Callithrix jacchus: one gene and its partner. The protein of the gene in region 2 purifies or fractionates together with the protein of the main gene of each other region. This does not show direct contact. Links are inferred from orthologs where the notes say so. Each region holds a gene or a part of one and is shown on either strand. Other genes may lie near its edges.

The links.
Region 1: the proteins of DNAJC7 (region 2) and MLF2 purify together in Homo sapiens (affinity purification with mass spectrometry; 3 studies listed by BioGRID and IntAct, with this or other methods). This does not show direct contact. The link is inferred for Callithrix jacchus from reciprocal best matches to the Homo sapiens genes DNAJC7 and MLF2.

What each region holds. Positions count from the first base shown.
Region 1 is NC_133510.1:21,021,510-21,028,817, forward strand, and holds the start of MLF2 (myeloid leukemia factor 2), read right to left. Parts: upstream 3,953-7,308; 5' UTR 3,799-3,952; intron 3,228-3,798; 5' UTR 3,200-3,227; coding exon 3,150-3,199; intron 2,919-3,149; coding exon 2,789-2,918; intron 2,541-2,788; coding exon 2,505-2,540; intron 1,360-2,504; coding exon 1,306-1,359; intron 902-1,305; coding exon 773-901; intron 618-772; coding exon 458-617; intron 1-457.
Region 2 is NC_133506.1:91,211,687-91,219,054, reverse strand, and holds the start of DNAJC7 (dnaJ homolog subfamily C member 7), read right to left. Parts: upstream 4,692-7,368; 5' UTR 4,677-4,691; coding exon 4,600-4,676; exon of another isoform or gene 4,286-4,599; intron 4,242-4,285; exon of another isoform or gene 4,117-4,241; intron 1-4,116. Other genes in the region: NKIRAS2 (NF-kappa-B inhibitor-interacting Ras-like protein 2), read left to right, coding at 7,272-7,368. UniProt on the Homo sapiens protein: Acts as a co-chaperone regulating the molecular chaperones HSP70 and HSP90 in folding of steroid receptors, such as the glucocorticoid receptor and the progesterone receptor.

The DNA of each region.
Region 1 (7,308 bases), on a different chromosome or scaffold from region 2:
CCCCTGAGCTGAGGAGGTTCCAAATGCAGTAAGAATATGGGCCTACAGCTGGGCATGGTGGCTCCTGCCTGTAATCCCAGGACTTTAGGAGGCCGAGGCAGGTGGATCACCTGAGGTCAGGAGTTTGAGACCAGCCTGGTCAACATGGTGAAATGCTGTCTCTACTAAAAATATAGAAATTAGCTGGGCGTGTGGTGCGTGCCTGTAATCCCAGCTACTTGGAAGGTTGAGGCAGAATTGCTTAAACCCAGGAGGAGGAGGTTGCACTGAGCTGAAATCATGCCATTGCACTGCAGCCTGGACACCTGGGCAACAAGAGTGAGACTCCATCTCAAAAAAAAAAAAGAAAAGAAAGCAAAAGAATATGGGGTTGACCCAGAGCTTTGCCCAGAAGTTTATGGGGTAGGGAAGTCTCCTACTAGGGAATGCCAGCCAGGAAGTGGGAGGGAAGGCTCACTCTCATCCAGGTTGATATAGTCCTGCCGCTCCTCCTGGTCCCCTGTGCGATGGTTTCGGGAGCGCTGGAGGATGTGAGCCCTGTCCCGGATGTGATGCCCGATGGACATCTGTTCCAGTCCACTGTCTGAATCCCGAACAGTCCTCCGTGTCTCCCGGATCTGGGATGAGGCAGAACATGGTACACTCAGCCACCCCTTCCAAAGCCCTGGCCATCTCAGGATAAACACACCACCCACAACCCAATCCGAAAAAAGCAGCCAGGGTTTCTGTGAGTGCCACTCAATCCCAAGTTCTCTGGGATAGGAGGGCTCACCCCGCCTGGTGCCGAGCGCATCTCTGATGTCTCTTGGTAAACCTTGGGGGCACCATCGCCGGTATTGGAGTAGGAGATGACAGTAGAAGATGAGAAGGTCTGGCAATTGCCTCCAGCTGTCATGTGTTCCTAAGGACAGGGTAGGTAGGGGAGGGCTGAATGAGGAGGCACTTCCCCCCTGGTGAAGGATTTCACCCTTCAGCTCCCTGTTCTAGCCTGTATCTTTCTCACAAAATGTAACAACTGAAAAAACATCAGGACTCATTTTACCCTCCCAAATTCCTCTCAGTCCAATCACAGTCAAGAAGGACCTGAAGAGACAGAGACTTAATTGTATGCTACATAAAAGTGCTGCTGCTGCTTCAGGCAGGCATGACAGCAGATACACGGTCCCCAAGGCTCTCTGCTTCAATTACTTTATCCAGTACTTTACCCTTCACTAGCATTCTGTCTCCCTCTTGCCTTAGAGGGTTCAAGGTGTTGTCAGCCATCACTGAGAGCAAGGCCAGGGAAGGGTGTGGGGCAAGGCTCACCATGTTACCAATCATGTCGTTCATCATCCCAAACATGTCCATGAAGCCACCGGACTGGAGGAAAGAGATGGAACATAGTCAGGAAAGCAAAGTCAGTGTTCAGAGCTGATCCTGTTTAGGAACCCACGAGCCACATGGCTGCACATTTCATCTTCCTTCACATCTAGCAAGTAGTCTTTCTCATTCTCCCTTAACAGAACCAGAATACTCATGTTTCTCCTCCAGTAAGCTGCTGACCCCTCCTCAGTCTCTATGACTGCTCGGATTCAATTTTCCTTTTCCTGCCTTCTGTATTCCCCCCGATCTTTAGGAAGCAAGCCAAAGTTAATGGATTCTAAACTCTAAAGAGATAAGGCAAAGACCAGATTTTGCTAGACAATTACATCTTCCTAATGAGTATGAACTTCTAGGAGTACAAGAGTTAATAACATCTTTTCTTTTTTTTTTTTGAGATGGAGTCTGGCTCTGTTGCCCAGGCTGGTGTGCAGTGGTGAAGTCTCAGCTCTCCGCAACCTCTGTCTCCTGGGTGCAAGCGATTCTCAGCCTCCAGCATAGCTGGGACTACAGGCATGCACCACCATGCCTGGCTTTTTTGGTATTTTTAGTAGAGACGAGGTTTCACCATGTTGGCCAGTCTGGTCTCAAACTCCTGACCTCAAGTTATCAGCCGTCTCAGCCTCCCAACCAGACTTAGTAACACCTTTCGCCAGGTACAGTGGCCTACACCTGTAATCCCAGCACTCACGCCTATAATCCCAGCATTCTGGGAGGCTGAGGCGGGCGGATCACTTGAGGTCAGGAGTTCAAGACCAGCCTGGCCAACATGGTGAAACCCTGTCTCTACTAAAAATACAAAAAAGGGGCATGGTGGCTCTGCCTGTAATCACAGCTACTCAGAGGGCTGAGGCACGAGAATCACTTGAACCTGGGAGGTGGAGGTTGCAGTGAGCTGAGATCATGCCACTGCACTCCACCCTGGGTGACAGGGCAAGATGCTGTCTCAAAAAAAAAAATAATAAAAATAACACCTTTAATCCACAGGGCTCCTAGCATCTAAAAGGCTCAGAGCTTTGTGAACATCATGAAAAGAAGATTCTGGGGTTACCCATGAAACTATGCCAAAGAGGCAAATTTGGGAATAATATCTAAGGGTAGAGAGTGTGTGTGAAATGGAAGGCCCAAGGGAGATGAGGACTCACCATTCCCAGCATCCCAAAGGGGGAGACAGCTCCAGTCTACAGGAACACATGAGGAACAGAAATTAGAGACTTCATCCTATCTCCTTACAATCCCAAACCAGGCCCATGGCCTCAATTTTTGTTTTCCATCCTCTCGAAAGGGAGTCATAAAGCTCTTTTTCCTGACCCTTTCCCCCACTCCTAGAGCATTTCACTTGTTCAGTTAGCTGTAGGGCAAGAAAACTAATGTGCCTTCCTAACCACCCTCCAACCTTTGGGTCTCAGGTGTGTCTCAGCACCATTACCTGCTGCATCCTGCGGCTGGCAGGCCTGGTCCCTGGCATGTTGCCATCTGTGATGCTGAGGAAGGGGCTATATCCAAAGCCACCTGACAACATACGGCTCATATGCTGACGGTGAATAGCAAAGGGGTCCCTGTGAAGTGAGCACATAGTATGGATGGCAGAAGCACCAAGCTGTCAATCCCTCCACCACCCTGCAAAAAAATACGCACAGGGCAACAGTGGCACCAATAGGCTACTTCCTGCTAGGGGGGAGCTGGGTATCCAACCAGTTCCAACCATTCCCAGCAATGGGAACCCAGATGTCTGCCTTAACTGCTCAGAGACCTGGAGTGGGAGAGCTTGAGGGGGAGGGAATACTCACATCAGGAACATGGGATCCTCAGGCTCCACATCCCTCATGAAGCGGAACATCCTGATCTCAGCTCCGGGGAGCTCCACACTGGAAAGGTGTGGAGGCTCAGGTACGTGGAGGTGGCCAGGCTTTTGCACACCCACTCAGTGTAAGGACTCTCCGCACTGGCCTTTCCCAAACCTTGTAACTGACCCTCTAAACTCCGGGGAGACCCTACTACAGGTGTTCCACACAACCCTCTAGGGAGAGAAGAGCTCTTCAAACCTCTCTCTCAATTAGGGCCATGGAAAATTTTTCCAAGCCTCTGGGTTTCTCCCTCCCCCACTCAGTCATCCTCTTCCCAAAGCTCTGGCCGGTTGCATACTCTCCCCTCCTCCCCCAACGTCACCGTTCTAGATAAGAATCCTAAGTGCCGGTCCTCCGTCCCATTAATGACCCCAGTCACCCGCCCCCTCCTTATACCCAGGCCTCCCCCAGGCAGGCCTCACTGTGCCCCCAGCGCCCGTCTGCGGCTCGCCCAGCTCCCGCCTCCCCGGCAGGCGGGCAGGAGAGGTAGGCCTGAGCCTCTCCTCTCCCGGCCCCGCATCCCCGGCTTCCAGACCCTGCAACCCCGCGGGCCCGCTCCCGTCCCTGGCTGCCCGCTCTGCCGGAGCCTCACCAGTGCCCGATTCGGGCTCAGCGGCCCATCCGGCCGGTTTCGCTTCCCGGTGCGCTGCAGGGTCAGGATCGCGGCCCGGGACGCGGGGATTGGTCCGAGCTCGAGCTCTGCGGCCTCCCGCGCCGCCTCTTCCCACAGCTGCCACCTCCGTACCACCCCTCGGCCTACGGAGCAAGAACCTCGGCCAGGCCCGGGCGGAAGTGACGTCATCGTGCAACCGCCCACCCGGGGCCGGGCCGTGGGAGCCCCGCCCACTGGCGTGGGTGGTGAGAAGCCTGTGGCCGCGTCCCAGGGGCGGCGGGGCCGGGGGCTTGGGGCCAAACTCAGGGGAGCGGAGCCTGAGTCCGGGCGGGGGTTCCCTTTGCACGAGTAAGGGGAGCTCATTAGTAACCTGGATTTGGGTTCTGTGCACTGGAAGAGGCTCCCAAAGGCTCGGGGGGAAGGAGAAGAGGAATCTATTCCTCGGGAGGGACCGAGTTGGGGGTTGAACTTGGGGGCGCAGTGCAGCACGTTCCCTCTCCTTCCTCCAGGGGAAACTGGAGGACGAGGGGCAGGCTCTCTGGGCCACCAGGCGGGGCGGATCCCTGGGGGAAGCTTTAAGCAGACTACTGGAAAAGCGTTCTACCCTGGAGGGAGGATGGGCAGCTTTCCTGCGGGTGAGGCGCTTGGGCCTGTACCCCCTTGAAGAGGAGAGTTCCTGGCAGGGCGGAGTCCCCGGAGTGACGAAGAGGAGGAGGTGAAACTCTCCAGCTCAGATCTGGTTAGGGCTTCAGAAAATCCGATGAGGCAGAGAATCCAGGTTGCGGATTGGCCGCCAGATGGCGCTCCTCGGCCAGGCTGGAACCCGAGGCCCTTGAGAACTGGCTTTGGAGAGGGACTTGGACCCTTCCCCATTACCCATCTGTGAAGGGTTGGACCGGGAAAAGGCTACAGTTCTGAAGTCTATTCGTTTAATGCCAATCTTCCCTTCCTTTTACTCTAATTCTTGCGTCCTCAAGAGCTCCCAGTCCTGCACTGACCTTTCTTGCTTGCTTTCTTAGGTCAAAGGTCTAAAGTTTTTGAGAAGAAAGGAGTGGAGAGCTCAATTAACCTGGATCACCCAGGGGAGGAGCTAAAACGGGACCCAGGAGAGCTGCCTCCAAGGCTAGAGACTGATACTTTGACATACTAAATGTCTTGCATAAATCTGGCTCTGCTGGAGAGAAGGGCCCTCCCACTTGGGGTCAAGGGATTTGGACTGTCTAGCATGGACTTTAACCAGACTCATCCAAACTCCAGCTTTCCCTGTTCTTTACTCTGGCGATTAGCCATATTAGTGCTGTGTGGAGCCTGACCCAAGGAGAAAGACTTGTTTCCAGTAATTCCCTGGGGGAGAAGGAGGGGGTCCCTGGTGACTCAGGAAAAGGTGCTAGGAACAGGGCTTCTCAGGTTTCTTTGGACTTGACCATTATTAAAGAGGAAACAACAATAATAGAGACAGGGAGCAGAGACAGATAATTAAGATCTAAGCTGGCAGGCTGTCCAGTCAAAGGAAAACAGAATACAAGTAAATTTGTTTTTCATTGCTATTTCTGGGGAAGAGACAGCAAAATATTTTATCTTCCAGATGCTCTATCTCTGGACATCCCACCATGCAACTTCCCCTTATCCTCTTCCCCAAACGAAAGCAGTTTGACATGTGAAAAGGAGTTGTTCCTAGTAAAGGTTCTGTGGCTGAAACTTAACTAAGGAGATCCTATCGACTTTTTTTTTTGGTCCTCTTCTCCTCTTAAAGCAAGTTATTTATTGTCCAGCCAATCAACAAATGTTTAAGATTGGCCACGGTGCCTCATGCCTGTAATCACAGCACTTTGGGACGCTGAGGCAGGCGGATCACGAGGTCACAAGTTCAAGACCAGCCTGACCAACAAGGTGAAACCCCGTCTCTACTAAAAATTAGCTGGGCGTGGTGGCACACACATGTAATCCCAGCTACTTAGGAGGCTGAGGCAGGAGAATTGCTTGAACCTGGGTCGCAGAGGCTGCAGTGAGGTAATCATGCCGCTGCACTCCAGCCTGAGTGACAGAGTGAGACTCTGTCTCAAAAAAAAAATTAGCAGGCACCTGTATCCCAGCCATTTGAAAGGCTGAGGCAGGAGAATCACTTGAACCTGGGAGATGGAGGCTGCAGTGAGCCAAGATCACACCACTGCACTCCAGCCTGGGGGATAAAGTGAGACTGTCTCCAAAAAGATAAAAAATAAAAATAAAAAAAGAAAGTTTAATGAGGCTCAGCACTGTCCTAGGTACACTGTATTACGCATACATACAAAAGTATAAGACACAGTCTACCAATTTTTTTTTTTTTTTGAGACAGAGTTTCGCTCTTGTTACCCAGACTGGAGTGCAATGGCACGATCTTGGCTCACCGCGACCTCCGCCTCCTGGGTTCAAGCAATTCTCCTGCCTCAGCCTCCCGAGTAGCTGGGACTACAGGTGCACACCACCATGCCCGGCTAATTTTTGTATTTTTAGTAGAGACAGGGTTTCACCTTGTTTATCAGGATGGTCTCGATCTCTTGACCTCATGATCTACCCGCCTTGGCCTCCCAAAGTGCTGGGATTATAGGCGTGAGCCACCGCGCCCGACCAGTCTCTACCAATTTAAGGCATACAATCTTCTAGCCACCTTTTTCTTTTTTGGTTACCTGTTATTTATTTATTTTTTTTTTTTTGAGACCTCACCATTGCATACCAGCCTGGGTGCCAAGAGTGAAACTGTCTCAAAAAAAAAAAAAAAAAAAAAAAAAAATCTGCCATCAGCGATGTTTACCTTTGAATGGTTTCAAATCATAGTTAGTTTCTAACTATGAAAAACAAAGCTTAAAACCTAGGTTTTGTCCCAGATTAAAAAGAAATTGTTGGCTAGGTGCGGTAGCTCACACCTGTAATCCCAGCACTTCGGGAGGTGGAGGTGGGCCAATCACTTGAGGTCAGGAGTTCCAGACCAGCCTGGCCAACATGTCGAAACCCAGTCTCTACTAAATACACACAAAACATTAGCAGGGCATGGAGGCATGTGCCTATAGTCCCAGATACTTGGGAGGCTGAGGCAGGAGAATCACTTGGACCTAGGTGGCAGAGGTTGCAGTGAGCTGAGATCTTGCCATCGCACTCTAGCCTGGGCAACAGAGCAAGACTCCGTCTCAATAAAAAAAGAAAGAAATTGTTGATCAGGCACAGTGACTCACACCTGTAATTCCAACACTTTGGGAGGCCAAGGCAGGAGGCTCGTTTGAGTCCTGAGTTGGAGACCAGCTTGGGCAACATAGTGAGACCTCATCTTTGCAGTAAAAAAATTAGCCAGATGTGATGGTGTGTGCTTATAGTCCCAGTGACTCAGGGTTGAGTGGGGAGGATTGCTGGAGCCATGATCACACCTCTGCACTCCAGCCTGGGTGAGAGCAAGGCCCTGTCTCTCAAAAAGAAAAAGAAAGAAAGAAAAACTCTTGAACAGGTGAGAATGAAAGA
Region 2 (7,368 bases):
TTGTCCAGTCACACTAGGTATATGCTGAGACAAAGAAGTGTTTTCTCTTTGAAAAACAATTTGAGGCCGGGCACGGAGGCTCATGCCTGTAATCCTAGCACTTTGAGAGGCCGGGGCAAGTGGATCACGAAGTCAGGAGATCAAGACCATCCTGGATAACACGTTGAAACCCCGTCTCTAATAAAAATACAAAAAATTAGCTGGGCATGGTAGCATGCAACTGTAGTCCCAGCTACTCAGGAGGCTGAGGCAGAATTGCCTGAACCTGGGAGATGGAGGTTTCAATGAGCCGTTATCACACCACTGCACTACAGCCTGGGCAACAGAGCCAGACTCCACCTCAAAAAAACAGAAAAACTCAACCATTTGAAATCCCTCAAGTTTGCCGTAAGAAAGATTCCCTACAGAGACCAAGCCGTTTCCCAACCCAGGACATATGATAAGAGATCCTTTACTCAAGACAGGTATTCCCTATGTACCTCTGCAACAACCCTGCATGAGCTGCATATGTACCCCAGAACCTAAAGTACAATAAAAAAAAACAAAAAGCCAGGTATTCCCATATTAGGTAAAACAGTCCAGCATCTTCCCAGGAAAACACAAAGCCTTAAGTTGGTCGAAATGTGAGACATCTGAAGTTTAACCCTCTGGCTCATAAATAGCTTTGCCTGTTCTGGTAAGCAAAGAGAATTACTCTTCATGAACAGAATCCTGATCTATTTTGGAGTACCAACTATAAGTCTTTTATTTTAGCCCCAATCTTTTTTGTTTTTTTTTTTTTTTTGAGACAGGGTTTCACTCTATCACCCAGGATGGAGTGCAGTAGTATGATCACATCTCACTGTAGCCGCAACCTTCCTAACTCAGCCTCCCAAGCATCAGGGCCAAAAGGTATGCACCACCACACTCAGCTAATTTTTGTATTTTTTTTAAACAGAGATTGGGTTTCACCATGTTGCCCAGGTTGGTCTCGAACTCCTGGCCTCAAGCAGTCCACTGGCCTCAGCCTCCCAAAGTGCTGGAATTACAGGGGTGTAATTCCAGCCTTAAATGTTTTTGTAGAGACTTAGTCTCACTATGTTGTCCAGGCTAGTCTCAAACTTCTGGGCTCAAGCAATCCTCTCACCTTAGCCTCACAAAGTGTTAGGATTATAGGCATGAGCCACTATGCCTAGCCTTATTTTAGCTTCTTGGCTGCTATAAGGGAAACAGAACTTTGTCAGTGGGAAACAGACATGCAAAAAAACTGAAATCCATTTCTTTTCTCTCTAGAGACACTAAAGCTAAGGAACTAAAACATGCAGCCATTTAAAATGCTGCAACTGTAAAGTCCAACGTCTTAAAAGCTCCTCTCATTTTGCCCCCAGTGGGACTGTGACAATTTAGCAGTAGCAGGACACATTTTAAGCCAAGATCTAAGGAAGGAAGGACTCCTGCTGAACCTCACAAAAACAACCCAAGAGACTCATTACCTCTTGTATCCCTAAATGAACTGGTAGTAGGACTGTAACGAGAGAGGCAGGAACTTGGCCAAAGAACCCTAACCAAGCCAGATAGTAAAAGGGCATTTGTAAGGGATGTTCCTATCACTGCCCTCTGCTATAAGGAATCCAGGAAATATGAAAAACAGAAAACCACCTCCCTCCAAAGCTTCTATATCTCTACCCTATTTTCAGCACTAGAAAATCATATATAAACAAGGCTTTTTCATACTAACAGAGCCTAATGTTTACTATTTTTTCTTTCTCAAGACAGAATTTTGCTCTTGTTGCCCAGGCTGGAGTGCAATGGCACAATCTTGGCTCACTGCAACCTCTACCTCCTGGGTTCAGGTGATTCTCCTGCCTCAGCCTCCTGAGTACTGGGATTACAGGCGTGTACCACTGTGTCCGGCTAATTTTGACATTTTTAGTAGAGACAGGGTTTCACCATGTTGGTAAGACTGGTCTCGAACTCCTGACCTCAAGTGATCCACCTGCCCTGGCCTCCCAAAGTGCTGGGATTACAGGCATGAAGCACTGTGCCCAGCCCCTAATGTTTATTCTTCTAAGGATGTCTGATATGGAAAAAGTTAAAATGATTTTGTTTCATTTATTTTCCTTTTGATTTGTGCACAGAAGCGACATAATAATAAATGTTTATGTCAAAAAGAGTGCTATATATGAGAAATATAAAAATCTGATAAGAATGCATTTTTTTTTTTCCTTTTTTAAAATTTTTGTTTTTTTGAGATGGAGTTTTGCTCTTGTTGCCCAGGATGGAGTGCAATAATCTCCACTCAGGCGTGCACCACCACACTCAGCTAATTTTTGTATCTTTAGTAGAGATGGGGTTTCACCATATTAGTCAGGCTGGTCTCAAACGCCTGACCTCAGGTGATCCACTCACCTCGGCCTCCCAAAGTGCTGGGATTACAGGTGTGAGCCACAAGACCCAGCCTTTTTTCAACTAAAAAAATTTTTTTTCTCTCACTATTTGAACTACAGGAACAACACATGTGTTCATAGTTTAATTTACAGTTATATTTTCTTAGTGACAGATAAAATAATTTGCATTCTGCAATAAATGATGTTAAATGGAATCTCATTGTTACCCAGGTGGGAGTGCAATGGCGTGATCTCAGTTCACTGCAACCTCTACCTTCAGAGTTTAAGCGATTCTCTTGCCTCAGCATCTGGTGTAACTGGAATTAAAGGAGCACACCATTACACCTGGCTAATTTTTATATTCTTAGTAGAGACAGGGTTTCACCACGTTGGCCACTCTAGTCTCAAACTCCTGACCTCAGGTGACCCACCACCTCGGCCTCCCAAAGTGCTGGGATTACAGGTGTGAACTACTGTGCCTGGCCTAATGACATCTTAAATTCCAGGAAATAAAGTAGTTATTAAACTACCTTAAGTAATAAGGTAGTTTACCTTATTTATTTTATTGTACTGCTACCAAATACTATGTTTTGTGTGATGTGGTCACATTATAGCATAACCTATTTTATATAATATGTCTTCAGGTTCATTTACTCCAATTTTATGATAGAATATCCTCTCAGGCTGTGATTGAAGAAATTTATTTGCTTTAGATAGGAGGCTTTGAAATGAAGTCCAAAACAGGGACACTCTGCATCAGAGATTTACAGTGAGCACGATGAGTTTTTAAAGTTACCTATGGCCAAGTCCCCATTTATAATATAAAGAACCACTGAACTCTTTCCAAATACAAGTAAATCTCTACAATTAATTTAGGCTGTCTTCGCTGGGCAGAGTTTTGTCTCCCATTTTGCAACTCCTTAATGATGTATAAGGGTTGATGATGCTTAACTTGCAATATCTAGAAAGAAGTAGGAACAACATGAAAACTCAAAATTAAGAACAAAGACTAGACTCTGGTTTCCTGGCTTCTCTGATATCGCAGGGGCCTATTATGCTTTGTCAGACCTCTCAGCACCCAACAGATGGAGACACTGGCTGTGATAACAGCTTGAAAACTATTCACTGCACCTGAGTACCTCTTATATTTTTAACTTAATCAGATAGTAAAAACTTCAGAATACTGATTTCAGATCTCATGAACTAATTCTACACCGCCACCTCAAATTACGCAGCCTGAAGACATAACGGGCTTGGTATGAAAGATATAAAGTATGTGGGAAGGAGACTGAAGGCACTGTAGTCATCTTGAACAAAAGCATTAGATTAACCTGCAGCTGATGAGAAAAGGGCTCCAAACTTCTAGAACCTTTTTGTCAATTCTGTTTTAGGATTAGAACAAGTATGACTACCCACAACTCTGTTCCAACCCCACTTCCAATAATTTGGCCTAACTGTTGCCAGAATCTAGAGTGTTCTGGAAAACCACTCACTCAGCAGCTCCCTTGGCTAGTACGACTGGCAATCCCGAGCCACTGCGGGTGCTTCGGAGTGCCAACAGCGCCCAAGCAGCTGCCCTCTTCCTTGCTGCTTAAGAAAAGAACAGTGCTGGGAAGGATAAGGAAGGATACGAAGAGGAGTCTCACGTGTATAACACCAGATAAGCCCCTCACTCTTCCTTTTTTCTTCATCATCTTTGACTTCCGGGATAACCAGGGGGCAATCAGGTCAATTACGGAGACACACTCACCTCGAACCCTAGACTAGTGATCGCTGGGGTACAAGTACTAGGGAAAACGGGGTGAGGAAAGCAAAGGTTCTGGAGATGGAAAGTGCAGACAGGCAACAATGCACAGAAGTTAACAAGAGAAAGGCGGGGGTCGGGGGAGATGTAAGGAAGTCGTCATCGACGCCGCGCCGCCTCCCCCACCTCGCATCAGACCTCTGAAATTGCCCTCCGAGACCCGGCCTCTCCTATAAGGACGATCGTCCTCTCCGCTGAAGAACTAGACCATGTCTCAGGTCCTTCACCAGGCGGAAGCGGGAAAGGAAGGCCGACCCCCAAGAGCGCCCCTTAAGGGGGTCCATCCGGCCTTGATCTCAGGTTGTGGGGGGTGTTTGCGGAGGGCGGGGCATCGCCTCAGCAGCTGAGGGCTGCATCACGGCAGGAACTGGGTTTTCCTGAGCCACGGAGCTGCAGTTCGCCCCCTCTACTACCCTGCTACCCGGTTACCTCTTCGCCTCTTCGTCGTCCAGCAGCTCTGGCTCGGTCGCCGCCATTACCACATCGCATTCCGCGGCAGCCGCCATCTTACCGCCGGGACCAGAGAGCTGGGTGGGAGGCAGGCGGTGAAGAGCACTTCCGGTCGGAGCATAGAGCAGCTCAGCGGCGCTGCGCCCAGAAGGGCTCCCTCGGGCTAGTCTACCAGCGAGAGGCTCCGTTTGGGGCCAGAGCGGCCTCCCGCCCCCGGCTGTCCACTGTGGTCTCCGCGCCGGGGCGGGAGCCCACGGACTTTTCCTGTGCGTAGGCGGCGCCACTTTACCCGTGGGTGGGAAGGGGGGTGTACAGGTGGTAGCCTCTCTAGGGCTTGGCTGTTTTCAGTATTTCAAGAGCCTCGTTGCCATAGCAACTTCCAATCCTAGAGAGTCCCCTGAAAGGCTCCAGGGAGTCTGAGTTGGGTGGGGACCAGGTGACCCAGGATTCTGGAGGGAGAGTCCCCACTGCTACCTTTCCGACCTTGGAGTGTGTCCACGGCTTCTTCCCGGCAAAGGCAAGAGACACTCTGAGCCCAGTTCCCCGAGCTTTCATCGTTCTCTGGAAGCCCTGCCCAACCAAGCCAGGGGAACGCAGGGCGTCCTCACCCTGCGCCTTTCATCCACTCCGGATCACCAAACACCAGCTGGTTCATCACCCTAAGGACGCTGACCCTTTTACGAGGCTGCTTTCATGTCAGCCACCTGGGAGTGCCATCTCAGCATTAAGCCTAGGAAAGCTGGACACATGGCGCCCCAGACTCTGCCCTGGAGTTTATAAGGAAGCTCGAGGGATGAGGTCCCCGCTTCTTGTGTCCTCAGTACTCCCACCTCTCATATAAACTTTCATCACGCTGGTCTTGCCGAATGCGGTCTGGATTGAGAACTCATAGGGGACAAGAGCACAGTTTAATTGTCTTTGTTGTCATTCCCTCACCCAAACCTCTATTTGTGGAGCTAAATTAAATTGGAGCTTTCTGGGGTCAAATTGGAGGAATATGAGGAGTAGTTTTACAATGTAAAGAGGGTAGCTAAAATAAAAAGAGGGCAAAGGAATTTTAAAACGATTTACCTGTTTTCCTCCAGGAAAACAGCATGTGCCAATGCACCTACCCTGCCTATCCCAGAGGGAGCTGTGCCCTTGTACCCTATGAGTTCTCAATCCAGACCACAGCGATCACTGAGTAGGGAGGGATGGGACAAGCTCGCTAGGTTGGAAAGGAGGGGTCATTTGTTTAGCCAGTCACTCAGTATCCCTTTCCAAAATGCCTACTCTGCTAGGTTGGGAGGGCACAAGATTCACAGACCACCTGCCCTGCCTGCCAGTGGCTTAAAGTTCAGTCTAATGCTAGCCAACCTATCTTGCTATCTTCCCACTTCATGTTCTATCTGAGGCAACTCATTTATTCCCACAGCTTTAATTCCGTCTGTTGATGATCTCAACCCTTGATATCTCCAACCTAAACCTTTCTTCAGGTTCCATAGCTGTATATCCAACTATCTACTGGATATCTCTTGTTTGTTTCACACATCCCCAAGGCTTACCATATTTAAGTTGAACTTTTCATTCTCTACCCACACCTCAACAACAGAAAAAACAAATGCTATATGTAATTATTATCTTTCCTGAATTTCGTATCTTGTTAAATGGATTAAACTCACTCACCTGGCCACTATATGAGAAGGATGGAAGCTATGAACTCCTCCCTCTGTCTCACGCTTGGCTTCCAATGTGTTGCCAAGTTTTGTTGATTTTCCTACCAAATATTTCCCAAATCTATCTCCACCTTTCCATCCTGATTCAGGCTCTCATCGTTTTTAAAAATCTTGGAATAGGCTGGGTGTGGTGGCATGTGTAGTCCCAGCTACTTTGGAGGCTGAGACAGGAGGATCACTTGAGCCCAGGGGTTTGAGGCTGCAGTGAGTTATGATCACACCAATGTACTCTAGCATGGACAAAAGAGCAAGACCTTGTCTCAAAAAAAAAAAAAAAAAAAAAAAAAAAAAAAAACGACAACAACAAAACAACAGCAAAAACAAAAAACTTGGAATACAGCAGTAGTCTCCTAATTGGTCCCTAGTTTCATCTCTGTCCAGTCTTCCCTCTTCTGCCAGAGTGATCTTCCTCAAGGACTCATGATGTCACTTCATTGGCAGTGGCTTTCCATGACCATCAATTTGATCTCTTTGGCCTACTACACAAGGCCTTTGATTATTTGTTTATTTTTTTTAATGACCTGAGTACCAATATTTAGGTCCTTCCTACCACCAATAATGAACTCAAGTCATCATAGTTCCAGAAAATTCCATGACTGTAGCCATGTTTCCTCCACCCTAGAATACCCTTTCCCCCAAGCCCTTCAATGTCCGCTGACCCAAAGTTAAATGCCCCTTTGCTGTGCCCCATAGCATCTCAGTAATTGTTGGGTAGACATGTAGCTTCTCTAGACCGTGAGTTCTGATCGGCAGCCACCATGTCTAACTCGTCCACCTTCTCTCAGTATATGGCCCTGTACCTGGCACAGACAGAGAAGATGCTCAGAAAACATTTGACGAATAAGTGGTTGAGTAAACGAAGACTAACTGTACTCTGATCGCCTTTAGAGAGAGCATATTTGGGTCTCAGAGACACCAGAACATCGGCCCACCTCCATGGAGCCTAGAACCTTGGGCTCCCGCGCACACCCAGGCCAGATCCTGGCCGTCATTCCCCCGCCGGTCTCTCGGGGGAGCTGCGCGGCACTCGCCT